Stegostoma tigrinum: one gene and its partners. The protein of the gene in region 1 purifies or fractionates together with the protein of each later gene. This does not show direct contact. Links are inferred from orthologs where the notes say so. Each region holds a gene or a part of one and is shown on either strand. Other genes may lie near its edges. The genes, in order: anapc4, anapc13 and anapc11.

The links.
Region 2: the proteins of anapc4 (region 1) and anapc13 purify together in Homo sapiens (affinity purification with mass spectrometry; 9 studies listed by BioGRID and IntAct, counting the BioPlex papers as one, with this or other methods). This does not show direct contact. The link is inferred for Stegostoma tigrinum from reciprocal best matches to the Homo sapiens genes ANAPC4 and ANAPC13.
Region 3: the proteins of anapc4 (region 1) and anapc11 purify together in Homo sapiens (affinity purification with mass spectrometry; 8 studies listed by BioGRID and IntAct, with this or other methods). This does not show direct contact. The link is inferred for Stegostoma tigrinum from reciprocal best matches to the Homo sapiens genes ANAPC4 and ANAPC11.

What each region holds. Positions count from the first base shown.
Region 1 is NC_081354.1:88,970,636-88,974,384, reverse strand, and holds the start of anapc4 (anaphase-promoting complex subunit 4), read left to right. Parts: upstream 1-875; 5' UTR 876-1,010; intron 1,011-3,749. UniProt on the Homo sapiens protein: Component of the anaphase promoting complex/cyclosome (APC/C), a cell cycle-regulated E3 ubiquitin ligase that controls progression through mitosis and the G1 phase of the cell cycle.
Region 2 is NC_081385.1:20,042,033-20,045,781, reverse strand, and holds the start of anapc13 (anaphase-promoting complex subunit 13), read left to right. Parts: upstream 1-1,417; 5' UTR 1,418-1,552; exon of another isoform or gene 1,553-1,561; intron 1,562-2,424; 5' UTR 2,425-2,540; intron 2,541-3,391; 5' UTR 3,392-3,502; intron 3,503-3,749. UniProt on the Homo sapiens protein: Component of the anaphase promoting complex/cyclosome (APC/C), a cell cycle-regulated E3 ubiquitin ligase that controls progression through mitosis and the G1 phase of the cell cycle.
Region 3 is NC_081375.1:22,114,249-22,117,997, forward strand, and holds the start of anapc11 (anaphase-promoting complex subunit 11), read left to right. Parts: upstream 1-1,152; 5' UTR 1,153-1,363; coding exon 1,364-1,538; intron 1,539-3,749. UniProt on the Homo sapiens protein: Together with the cullin protein ANAPC2, constitutes the catalytic component of the anaphase promoting complex/cyclosome (APC/C), a cell cycle-regulated E3 ubiquitin ligase that controls progression through mitosis and the G1 phase of the cell cycle.

The DNA of each region.
Region 1 (3,749 bases):
ACAGTGTGAAAACACAGCAGAAGGGAAAAGAAGCAAGAGGATAGGAAATGGCCCTCACGGAGCTCACCCTTCCTAAATGTAGGATCCCACAATTTATCTTTTTGAATTAGTGACCCACCGTTCCCAAAAGTCTGTAAACAACCTTGTACGGTTAACACCAGTGGCAGCAAGTTGGGGGTCTTTAAATGGACATTAATAGGACATTTAAGATTCTCCATTAACAGCAGTGCAAGAACACCATCCACTGATCTGCCCAATGATTTAACTGGGGAAGAGATGGAAAAGTAGTGAAATTACCTGCTCCCGTGCCAAAGTAAGTCCTGGGGAAGTGAAGATATTCTGGCCAATGCTTCTGTCAAAGTTGTCCTTAAAATCTCCCTCTCAGGAATGCAGCTTTCGCTTCTCCAGTCTTCCAGCATAGTTCCCTATCCCTGGAACTATTCTGATAAATCTTTTCAGCACTTTTTCCATGGCCTTGACTTTCCTCAAATGTACCGACTAGAGCTGAACCCAGTACTCTAAGTGAGGGCTATATAGACATAAGTGTTGTACAGACATGTATTATAAATTCCTTTATTTTGTGTGTTCTCCCTCTAATAATTAAGTCAATTATCCCATCAGCTATTTAAAAAAAATTAAAACGGATTTCTCAAATTTCCCTGCAAAATCCAAGGATGTGTTTATCCATGCCCTCTTTACACGTATTATTTCGCTCATGTGTACAAATAAAAAAAATTTAAAAGATAACAAAATTCAGAGTTAAAAGAAGTCAAGCTGCAAGTCATTTGCAACTTTTTTTTCTAATTTAGCGCTTACCCAGCGTCATCGCATTAGCAACCGCCCACGGAATCGCGCGCACAGTAACCGTAGCGCGCTACCGCCTGTACTGACGTGACCAAACGGGCACAGTGTACTCTCGCGATACCACCCCAGTGGTCTATTACGCATGCAGGCTGTGGGTTTGAACCCGACTGGCGGTGGCTGTCGCTTTTGGTGTAAACGGGCTGAAGGTAACATGCGGTGTTTCCAGTCCCGGGGCTGAGGTTCTCCCGCCCATCTGGGGTGGTCACTTCTTGTTTAAGATGCAACTGGCCTTGTTAGTAGCCACACAACTGAAGAAATATCTTCATTATGTGTGCTAAAAGCACCTGACAAGTTTCCTCATGGAAGACTGGTAAACATGGTTAGATCTCTCAGACGGTAGGAACTGCCGATGTTGGAGAATCTGAGCCAACAAGGTATAGAGCTGGATGAACACGGCAGGCCAAATAGTATCAGAGGAAGAAGGGTCCAGACCCTGAAACGTCAGCTTTCCTGCTTCTCTGATGCTGCGTGGCCTGCTGTGTTCATCCAGCTCTACACCTTGTTACCTTAAGATCACACAGACTACAGGGAGAACTAGCCATTTGGATATGGAACTGGCTCCAAGGTAGAAAATAGGTGGTGTTGGAGGGTTGCTGTTCAGATGCCACAAGGGTCAGTGCTGGGTCCTCTGCTTTTTGACATTTATGTAAATGATTTGGACATGAATGTAGGAGGAGGTATGGTTAGTAAGTTTGCAGATGACACCAAAATTAAAGATGTCGTGGACAGAGTTCAATAGGCTCTTGATCAGATGGGCCAATGGGCTAAGGAGTAGCAGATGGAGTTTAATTCATATAAAAGTGGTGTGTTTTAGAAAATCAAATCAGGGCAGGACTTAATAAAAACTGAAAGAATTTGCATCATCTGTAATTACGGGTTGAGGTGCTTCATAACTGGAGCATGGCTAATGTTGTACCTTGTGTTTGAGAACGATTGTACTGGAGAAACTGGGGAACTATAGGCCTGTGAGTCTGACTCCAGTTGTAGGTGAATTGTTGGTGGTGATTATAAAAGGTATGATTCATGCAAATTTAGAGAAGCAGAAATTGATTAGGGATAGTCAGTGTGGTTTTGTGAGGTAAATCATGCTTCAAACTTCATTTAGTTTTTTATTGTGTCAAAGAGATTGATGGCGGAGTAGTAGACTTTTATTTGGATTGTAGTAAAGCCTTTGACAAAGTTCCACTTGGTAGACTAATTAGTAAAGTTAGGTCATGTGGGATTTGGGGAGGAGCTTGCCAGTTGATACATAATTAACTTAATGGCAAGACTCAGAGAGTAATGATGTAGGTTGCTTTTCGGATTGAAAGCCCGTGGCCTGTGCTGTCCCACAGGGATTGGTTCTGGGTCCTGTTTTGTTTGTCAATTACATAAACAATTTGAATGAGATAATAGAAAGCATGTTTAGTCAGTTTGTGGGTAACACCAAAATCGGTGGCACAGTAGACCGTTAATATTTTCTAAAGTTACACTGGAGGGTTTCCTGACACAGTATGTTGAAGGGTCGACGAGGGGAAGCCACACTGGATCTGTTACTTGGTAATGAACCAGGCCAGGTGTTTGATTTAGTGGTAGGTGATCACTTTGGAGAGAGTGACCATAATTTGGTCACGTTTAGTTTGGCAATAGAAAGGGATAGGAGCATGCCACAAAAGTTATAGATGTGGGAAGGGTAGTTATAATGTGATTAGGCAAGGTTTAGGAGGCATAGAATGGGGTAGCAAAATGCAGGGGATGGGGACAATCAAAATGTGGAGCTGGTTTAAGGAACAGATATTGCGTGTCCTTGATAGGTATGTCCCTGTCAGGCAGGGAGGAAGCGATAAGGTAAGGGAACCGTGGTTTATTAAAGAAATTGTATCTCTTGCTAAGTGGAAGAGGGAGGCTTTTGTGACGTTGAGACGAGATGGTTCAGATGAGGCGATGGAGTGTTACAGATTAGCTAGAAAGGATTTAAAGAGAGAGTTAAGAAGTGCAGACATTAGCAGGTAGAATAAAGGAGAACCCTAAAGCTTTCTATAGGTATGTGAGGAATAAGAGGATGACTTGGATAGGAATAGGGCCAGTCAAAGACAGAAGTGGGAAGTTGTGTGTGGACCCTGTGGAGATCGGAGAGGTGCTAAATGAATATTTCTCATCTGTTTTCACTCAGGAAAAGGAGAATATTGTAGAGGAGAAGACCAAGTTATGGGCTATTAGACTTGAAAGGATTGAGGTTGGTAAGGACGAGGTGTTATCAATTCTAGGTGTGAAGGTAGATAAATCCCCTGGGCTGGATGGGATTTTTCCGAGGATTCTCTGGGACGCCAGGGAGGAGATGGCGGAGCCTTTGGCCTTGATCTTTGAGTCGTCATTGTCTACAGGTTTAGTACCAGAGGACTGGAGGATTGCAAATGTTGTGCCCTTGTTCAAAAAGGGCAGTAGAGATGACCCAGGTAGTTAAAGACCAGTGAGCCTTAGGCCTGTTGTAGGAAAAGTTTTGGAAAGGATTATAAGAGACAGGATTTATGATCATCTAGCAAGCAACAATTTCATTGGAGGTAATCAACATGGATTCATCAAGGGAAAGTCGTGTCTCACAAACCTCAGAGTTTTTTGAGAAGGTAACCAAGCTTGTGGATGAGGTTAGGGCAGTTGACGTGGTGTACATGGACTTCAGTAAAGCCTTTGATAAGGTTCCACCTGGTAGGCAATTGGAGAAAATGCGGAGGCATGGGATTGAGGGAGATTTAGCAGTTTGGATTAGAAACTGGCTTTCTGTAAGAAGGCAACGAGTGGTGGTTGATGGAAAATATTCAGTCTGGAGTCCGGTTACTAGTGGTGTGCCTCAAGGATCTGTTTTGGGAGCACTGCTGTTTGTCATTTTTATAAATGACTTGGACGCA
Region 2 (3,749 bases), on another chromosome or scaffold:
CAAAGTTAGCAAATGTAAACTAATTCAGTGGATTGCCATTGGGAACATACAAAGTCATGCTGTTCATATCCTTTAATCAGCACTTTGTGCCATTCTCAATTTGTAAAAGGTGCTGTTAAGTGGAAATCTGTCCTTTGTTGCTTGAATTCTAAGTCTTTCCAAGTCGCCTTGACGAAAACGTTCAGCCAGTCCTTGTTTGTTAAGATTACTACTTTTAAAAAAAATCAAAAATGTTAATACCAAAAGAACTGGAATTTAACAATCTGGAGTTTCACAATCTGGAACTGAAGGTTAGTGTCAGGAATTACCACTGGTGAACCAGATGGATTTTTAAGACAGTAAGACCATTATACGCAGGAGCAGAAGTAGGCCATTCGGCCCTCAAGTCTGCTCCACCACTCAATGGGATCGCAGCTTGTCTGATGTTCCTTAACTCCATTTTCCTCGATTCCCTTGCTGATTAAAAATCCGTCTACCAAAGTTTCTGACGAAAGGACATATGCCGCCCTCACCCTCAAAAATCTGGTAGACTCGTAACTGCCCTCTGAAATACCATTCAAGTTTTTTTTAAAAAGGCAAAGGTGATCAACAAATGCTGGCCATGCCCCTGGTGCCCACATTTTACAGAAACATAAAACACAGGAAAGGTCATTCAGCCAACCAAGTCTGTCCGACCAGAACTACACTAAATCTACTCCAGCCACACTTCCCAGCTCTACACTCTTCAATATTACAATTCAAATGTTCATTTCACAGGGATATTTCACTTTAACTGTGCTGTTTGAAGTCTGTGAATGCTGCCGTCCCCTACCCCGCTGCAATCCACTCACCGACCCTGGGCCTCCCGCCTCCGTCACTAGGCAACCGCTTAAAGGGAAAGGGCCACCCGACTTAAAGGGGATGGCTCAGGCCTTTCCGTTATTTGTCGGCTCAGGAAAGAAAACGACGAAAACAAACCTCACGGCTGAGGAGGCGAGCATGGAGTTTGTCAGTGAGAGGGGGGGCGAGACAGGCTGGAAAACTGAACAGGCACAAAATAAAACTGAAAGGAAAGTGCTGTTCACTCGGAAACGGCCGCAACAACCTCGCGGCGCGGAGAGAAGCAAAATCACTGCCCGGAGCCTTTTTCGGAAGAAGGACCCCGACCCGAAATGTCAACTTTCCTGCTCCTCTGACGCCGCCTAGCCTGTTGTGCTTCTCCAGCTCCACACTCTGTTATCGCCTGAAAGTCTGTGAGCTTCCATCGGAAATCAAACACTTCACTCCAATTATTTACTGATTGTGGCCGGACCGTTCATCTGGGGGGACCGAGAGGCAGGGAGAGGCCGGACCATTCATCGGGGGGGACCGGGAGGCAGGGAGAGGGCGGACCGTTCATCGGGGGGGACCGGGAGGAAGGGAGAGGCCGGACCGTTCATCGTGGGGGACCGGGAGGCAGGGAGAGGCCGGACCGTTCATCGTGGGGGACCGGGAGGCAGGGAGAGGCCGGACCGTTCATCGGGGGGGACCGGGAGGCAGGGAGAGGCCGGACCGTTCATCGGGATTGTTGGGGGTGAGGGAGAGTCCCGGACGGTATATCGGCGGGAGGGGGGCGGGGCGAGGGGGAGACGGGGGCGGGGCGAGGGGGAGACGGGGGGCGGGGAGACGGGGGGCGGGGCGAGGGTGAGACGGGGGGCGGGGTGAGGGGGGCGGGGCGAGGGTGAGACGGGGGGCGGGGCGAGGGGGGCGGGGCGAGGGTGAGACGGGGGGCGGGGCGAGGGTGAGACGGGGGCGGGGCGGGGCGAGGAGGGGGGGGCGGGGGGAGGGGGAGACGGGGGGCGGGGGCTGTTGGGGGGGCGTACGGGCGGGGGGATGGGGTGTGGGCAGGGGGATGCGGGCGGGGTGAGTGTGGGGGTGGGGTGGGACGAAGAGTGGGGGTTGGAGCAGAAGGGGCACGACGGCGCGGAGGGGAGGGTAGTGGTGGGAGGGGTGGGGTGTGGAGGGATGGGGCAGGGCGTGGCGGGGGTTGGGGAGGGAGGAGGGGCAGGGCGGTGGGGAGGGTAGGGACGGGCAGAAGGAGTGGGACGGACGTGGCGGGGGTGAGGCGGGAATGAACGGTGGGGAGGGGCGGAGCAGGACAGGGTGGGAGGGCAGGTCGGAACAGGGTGGTGGGGCGGGACAGGTTGGGAGGGTCGGGGTGGGACGGTTGGGGGGGGGGGCAGCGCCGGTGGGGGGAGGGACGGGACGGGGTCTGTGAAGAGAGAAACAGAGTTAATGTTTCTATCCCGATGTTCCTTCCTCAGAACGGCACACAGCTGGGTTCATTTACTTGTTTTAACCCAATGGATGTGTGAGGTGGCACGTTTGAAGTTTCAAGCGGAGTCAGGAGATCAGAGCAAAGACATACAGACTTACATTTCTATAACATGTTTAATGTCCATACAGATCCTCAGCCAATGAAGAAATTCTGAAGTCGCCATTGATGTACTGTATACACAGGAAGCACCCACAAACAGTATATGTGCGAGTGACCAGATTTTTATTAACCCAAGCGACCTGAGGTATTTGATTAAATGCTTGGCATGTAGGATAACAAAGCCTAATGGAAACCGAAAAGGTTGACTTAGTACAGTTCATGCTGAATCTGTTGAGAAGATTGTGCTAGTCTTTTGAGAAGGACTTCTTAGGGAAGATCAACAAATACTAGCTTTGGTGATGTCCAAATGTGATGAAAGTAAAAATTCATCCACGATTAAGGAATTGAGCTATGAGAAGATTTGGTATAATTATGTTATCTGAAAATGAAATTGAAAGATTTTACTCCCAAGATGTACAATGTTAAATGGAGAAACTTCTTGGGGAAAATTGAAACAAAGCAACATAATCTTCAAGTCCAGCTTAAATGAATATGTTGCAAAGGCCAAAGATGCAAAATCATTTGAAGGAAACACTTAGAAAACACTTAGAAAAATCAAGGGATATCAACAAAGTGCTGAAGAAACTTGGGTTTGGGAGCATCTGGAGAGAGGAAAACAGTTAATATTGTTCTGAAGGGAATGTAGGTCTTAAAGCTTAAACTCTGTTTTTCTCTCTGTAAACGGAGAGGCGCTAGTAAAATAATATAGACTCGATGGGCTGTTTAGCTTAGATTTTGTCTGGTAATGTATCTGCCACATATTGTTAATTGAATTAGCTGTCAGCACGTCCTAACTATCCCATTGAGCAAACTGATTTTCAGTATGTACGTCACAATTTTTTAAAAGGCAAATTACAACAGCAAATTTTATGTCAGTCAATCCAAACAAAATTCTTGCATTCATTTAGTAGTCTTCACAACCTCATGATTTTACAACTTGTTTCGCAGCCAGAAGTTTTGCTGCATATTGATGTAATTATTTTTATTCTTTTGTAGGATGTGGAATTTGCTTAGGTCTATATTTATTGCCCATTCCTAACTACTTAGAAAGCAGTTAAGAATCAACCGCATTGCTGTTCATCTGGAGTCATATCTAGGACAGATCAGGTAAGGATATAGATTTCCTTCCTTAAAGGACCGCAGTGAACCCGGTGAGTTATTGAGTGGTGGTTATCCACTTACTGTTACGGTAGCTCTCTATTCCAGATTTTAATTGAATTCAGATTTCACTGCCATAGTGACGTCAACATGTACGTCCCCAGAATATTGTCGTGTGATATTCGTTTTGGGTTCTGAATTCCTATTTCATTGACAACACTACGAGGCCACCACCTCCCTATTTGTACAGAGCAAG
Region 3 (3,749 bases), on another chromosome or scaffold:
CAGCCCAGCTCTTCCCCCCCACCCACTGCATCCCAAAACCAGTCCAACCTGTCTCTGCCTCCCTAACCGGTTCTTCCTCTCACCCATCCCTTCCTCCCACCCCAAGCCGCACCCCCAGCTACCTACTAACCTCATCCCACCTCCTTGACCTGTCCGTCTTCCCTGGACTGACCTATCCCCTCCCTACCTCCCCACCCACACCCTCTCCACCTATCTTCTTTACTCTCCATCTTCGGTCCGCCTCCCCCTCTCTCCCTATTTATTCCAGTTCCCTCCCCCCATCCCCCTCTCTGATGAAGGGTCTAGGCCCGAAACGTCAGCTTTTGTGCTCCTGAGATGCTGCTTGGCCTGCTGTGTTCATCCAGCCTCACATTTTATTATCATGACAAAGTGTGGAGCTGGATGAACACAGCAGGCCAAGCAGCATTTTAGCAGCAGGAAAGCTTACGTTTCAGCCCTACACCCTTCATCAGAAATGGGGGAGGGGAAGGGGGGTTCTGAAATAAATAGAGAAGGGGAGGCAGATCGAAGATGGATAGGTGGAGAGAAGGCAGACAAGTCAAAGAGGCGGGGATGGAGCCAAAACCAGCCCAGCTTATCCCCGCCTCCCTAACCTGTTCTTCCTCTCACCTATCCCCTCATTCCACCCCCTTGACCTGTCCATCCTCCCCGGATTGACCCATCCCCTCCCTACCTCCCCACCTACACTCACCTCTACTGGCTCCATCCCCGCTTCTTTAACTTGTCTGTTTCCTCTGCACCTATCTTCTCTATCCATCTTCTATCAGCCTCCCCCTTGTCCCTATTTATTTCAGAACCCCCTTCCCCAATTCTAATGAAGGGTCTACGCCTGAAAGGTCAGCTTTCCTGCTCCTCTGATGATGTTTAGATGTATAGTTGGCATACAAGGCAAGTGCTGGAAAATGGGATTAGATTACTTAAGGTGGTTGTTTTTGACCGGTGTAGACGTGAAAGACCAGAGGGCCTTTTTTTCTGTGCTAATAGATCTTTATGACTCTGTGGACCTAATTCCTCCCAGAGCTCTTTCTCAATGGATCAGCTCTTCTCCCAATATACAGGAGAAACAAGCCTCCCTCCCTTCTGTGGAACCCGCCAATCAGAGGCGCCAAAGTGAACGGCCAATCAGAGCGCCTGAAACGGAGGTCCCGACGCGGGGAATCAAACGCAGAAACATCATCGATGTTGGAGGAAAAAAATATCCGATCTCTGAAACTTCAATGTTGTACTGTTGACGCCCGTTTTAGTATTTTGTTTTGGCCCCTGTGGCGGGAAGAAGAAATGTGTTTCGAAAGAATGTGTTCAGTTCAGCGCTTTGTTGCGGAGGCCTGCCCAGACATGATGAATGGAGTGTGATTGCGAACAGGATCCGGAGATTTCTCCCTTGCCCCGGGCTGTCGAACCGCCCGTCATGCGGGTCAAGGTGAAGCGCTGGAACGCCATCGCTACCTGGTTCTGGGTGGCTAACGACGAGAATTGTGGTATTTGCCGCACGGCGTTTAACGGCTGCTGCCCGGACTGTGAGTAAGGGGATGGGAAAGGAAAAGAGGGAGGGAAAGTACGGAAGAGAGAGAGAATGGGGACCGGAGGGAAAGAGAAAGGGAGAAAGAATACGGGAGACATGGGTAGGAGTGGGAGAGTATGGGGTAGAGGGTGGACCAAGCCTCCAAAATGGGTGACTGGAGATGCCCCGACCCCCCAGATCCTCCAATGCCCCAAACCCCCCAGATCCTCCAATGCCCCAAACCCCATCCCTCAAATCCTATTTACATTTTTGGGAAGATAAAGTTTAAATGATGTGGATATAGTTAAACACAAGCTAACCTAAATTCATTTCCAACATTAAGCCGGTGAGTGACGTTTCTGGTGGGAAAGCTCTTGGAGAAGGTAGAGGGACAGGATGCATGCACACTTGGAAGAAAATGGACTAGTTAGCAACAAACAGCATGGTTTTGTACACGGAAGGTTATATCTCACCAACCTGACCGAATTTTTTGAAGGGATGACACAGATAATTGAACAAAAAGCTGTGAATGTAGTTTATATGGACTTTGGTAAGGCATTTAATAAAGTCCCTCATGGCAGATTGGTACAAAAACTAAAATTATATGGGATTCAGGGTGGGCTGCTAGATGGAAATAAAACTGGCTTGATCATAGAAGACAGAGGGTAATGGTGGAAGGGTGTTTTTCAGAATGGAGACCAGTAACTCGTGTTCCACAGGGATCAGTCTTAGGTCCTCTGTTGTTTGTTGTGTATATATAAACGAGCTGGAGGAAAATGTGTGTGGTTTGATTAATAAATTTGCAGATGACACAAAGATTAGTGCAATTGTTGATAGTTGTTAAACGTACAACAGGATATAGATAGATTGGCAACTTGGGCGCAGAAATGGCAGATGGTGTTGCCATCTCTGACAAAGAAGGCATATGGCATGCTTGCGTTCCTCAGCTGAGGCATAGAGTACAAGAGTTGGCACAACATGTTGCAGCTATATAAAACCTTTGTTAGGCCGCATTTGGAGTATTGTGTGCTGTTTTGGTTGCCACATTTACAAAAGGATGTGGAAGCTTTGGAGAAATTGCAGAGGAGGTTCACCAGGATGTTGCCCAGTCTGGAGCGCATTGGCTATGAGGAAAGGTCAAAAAGACTAGGATTGTTTTCACTGGAAAGACTGCAGCTGAGAAGACAAGAGGTCTATAAAATTACAAGAGGCATAGATAGGGTGGATAGTCAAAAAGGCTTTTTCCTGAGTTGAACTTTCAATTACTAGGGGGCACGGGTTCAAGGTGAGAGAGCAGGAGTTTAAGGGAGATATGTGAGGAAAGTTTTTTTTTCATGCAGAGAGTGGTAGGAGTGTGAAATGCAGTCAGAGGAGATGGTGGAAGCAGGCACATTGGCAACATTTAAGAGGCATCTGGATGGCTACATGAATGGGGGGGGAATAGAGAGATATGGACCAAATAAGGGCAGAAGGTTTGTTTTTTGGTTTAGTCAGGGCATGATGATTGGCACAGCCTTGGAGGAGTGAATGGCCTGTTCCTGTGCTGTATTTCACATTTGTTCTTTTCCTCTTAAAGTTCATTCTGTTGCTACATGAAGTAGGAACCACTCTGAAGGTGCTTTCTGGTCAATAATTTCTTCTTTCCGCTATAATAATTATTTCAAATGGGATGGAACTGTAATCTGGCTTAGAAATGGCCGTTTACAAAATGTAAAAGAAGTAAGTTTCATTAGACTGACTTGCCCTTTAATCATTTCTCATGCATATTGAAGTGGTACTGTGCATCAAACTGTATTCCTTTTACTGAGTGTATTAGCTGCTGCACCATAATCTTTGCAAACTCCATTTCTCTGAAGAACCAGAACAGCAAGAACATAGGGATACCCTTATGCTGACATGAAATTGTGATGGTGTTTTCCTTCACTGTTGGAACACACTTTCTAAAGATATCTAGGTGTATCCACATCCCATGGGTTGCAATTGATACAACTACAGCAACAAGAGGAAGTTTTGAGGCTCTTCAGAGACTATGAAAAAAGATGTAACATTGAGTCACGAAGAGCTATTAGATCAGATGGCAAAAAACCTTGGTCAAAAAGATAGATTTTAAGGGGCATCCTAGAGAGGGAGAGAGACTGATGTTTCTGGAGGGCATTTCAGACCTTGGGACCTGGACAGCTAAAGACAAGGGTGGCGTAATTAAAATTGGGGCTGCTTGAGGCCATAA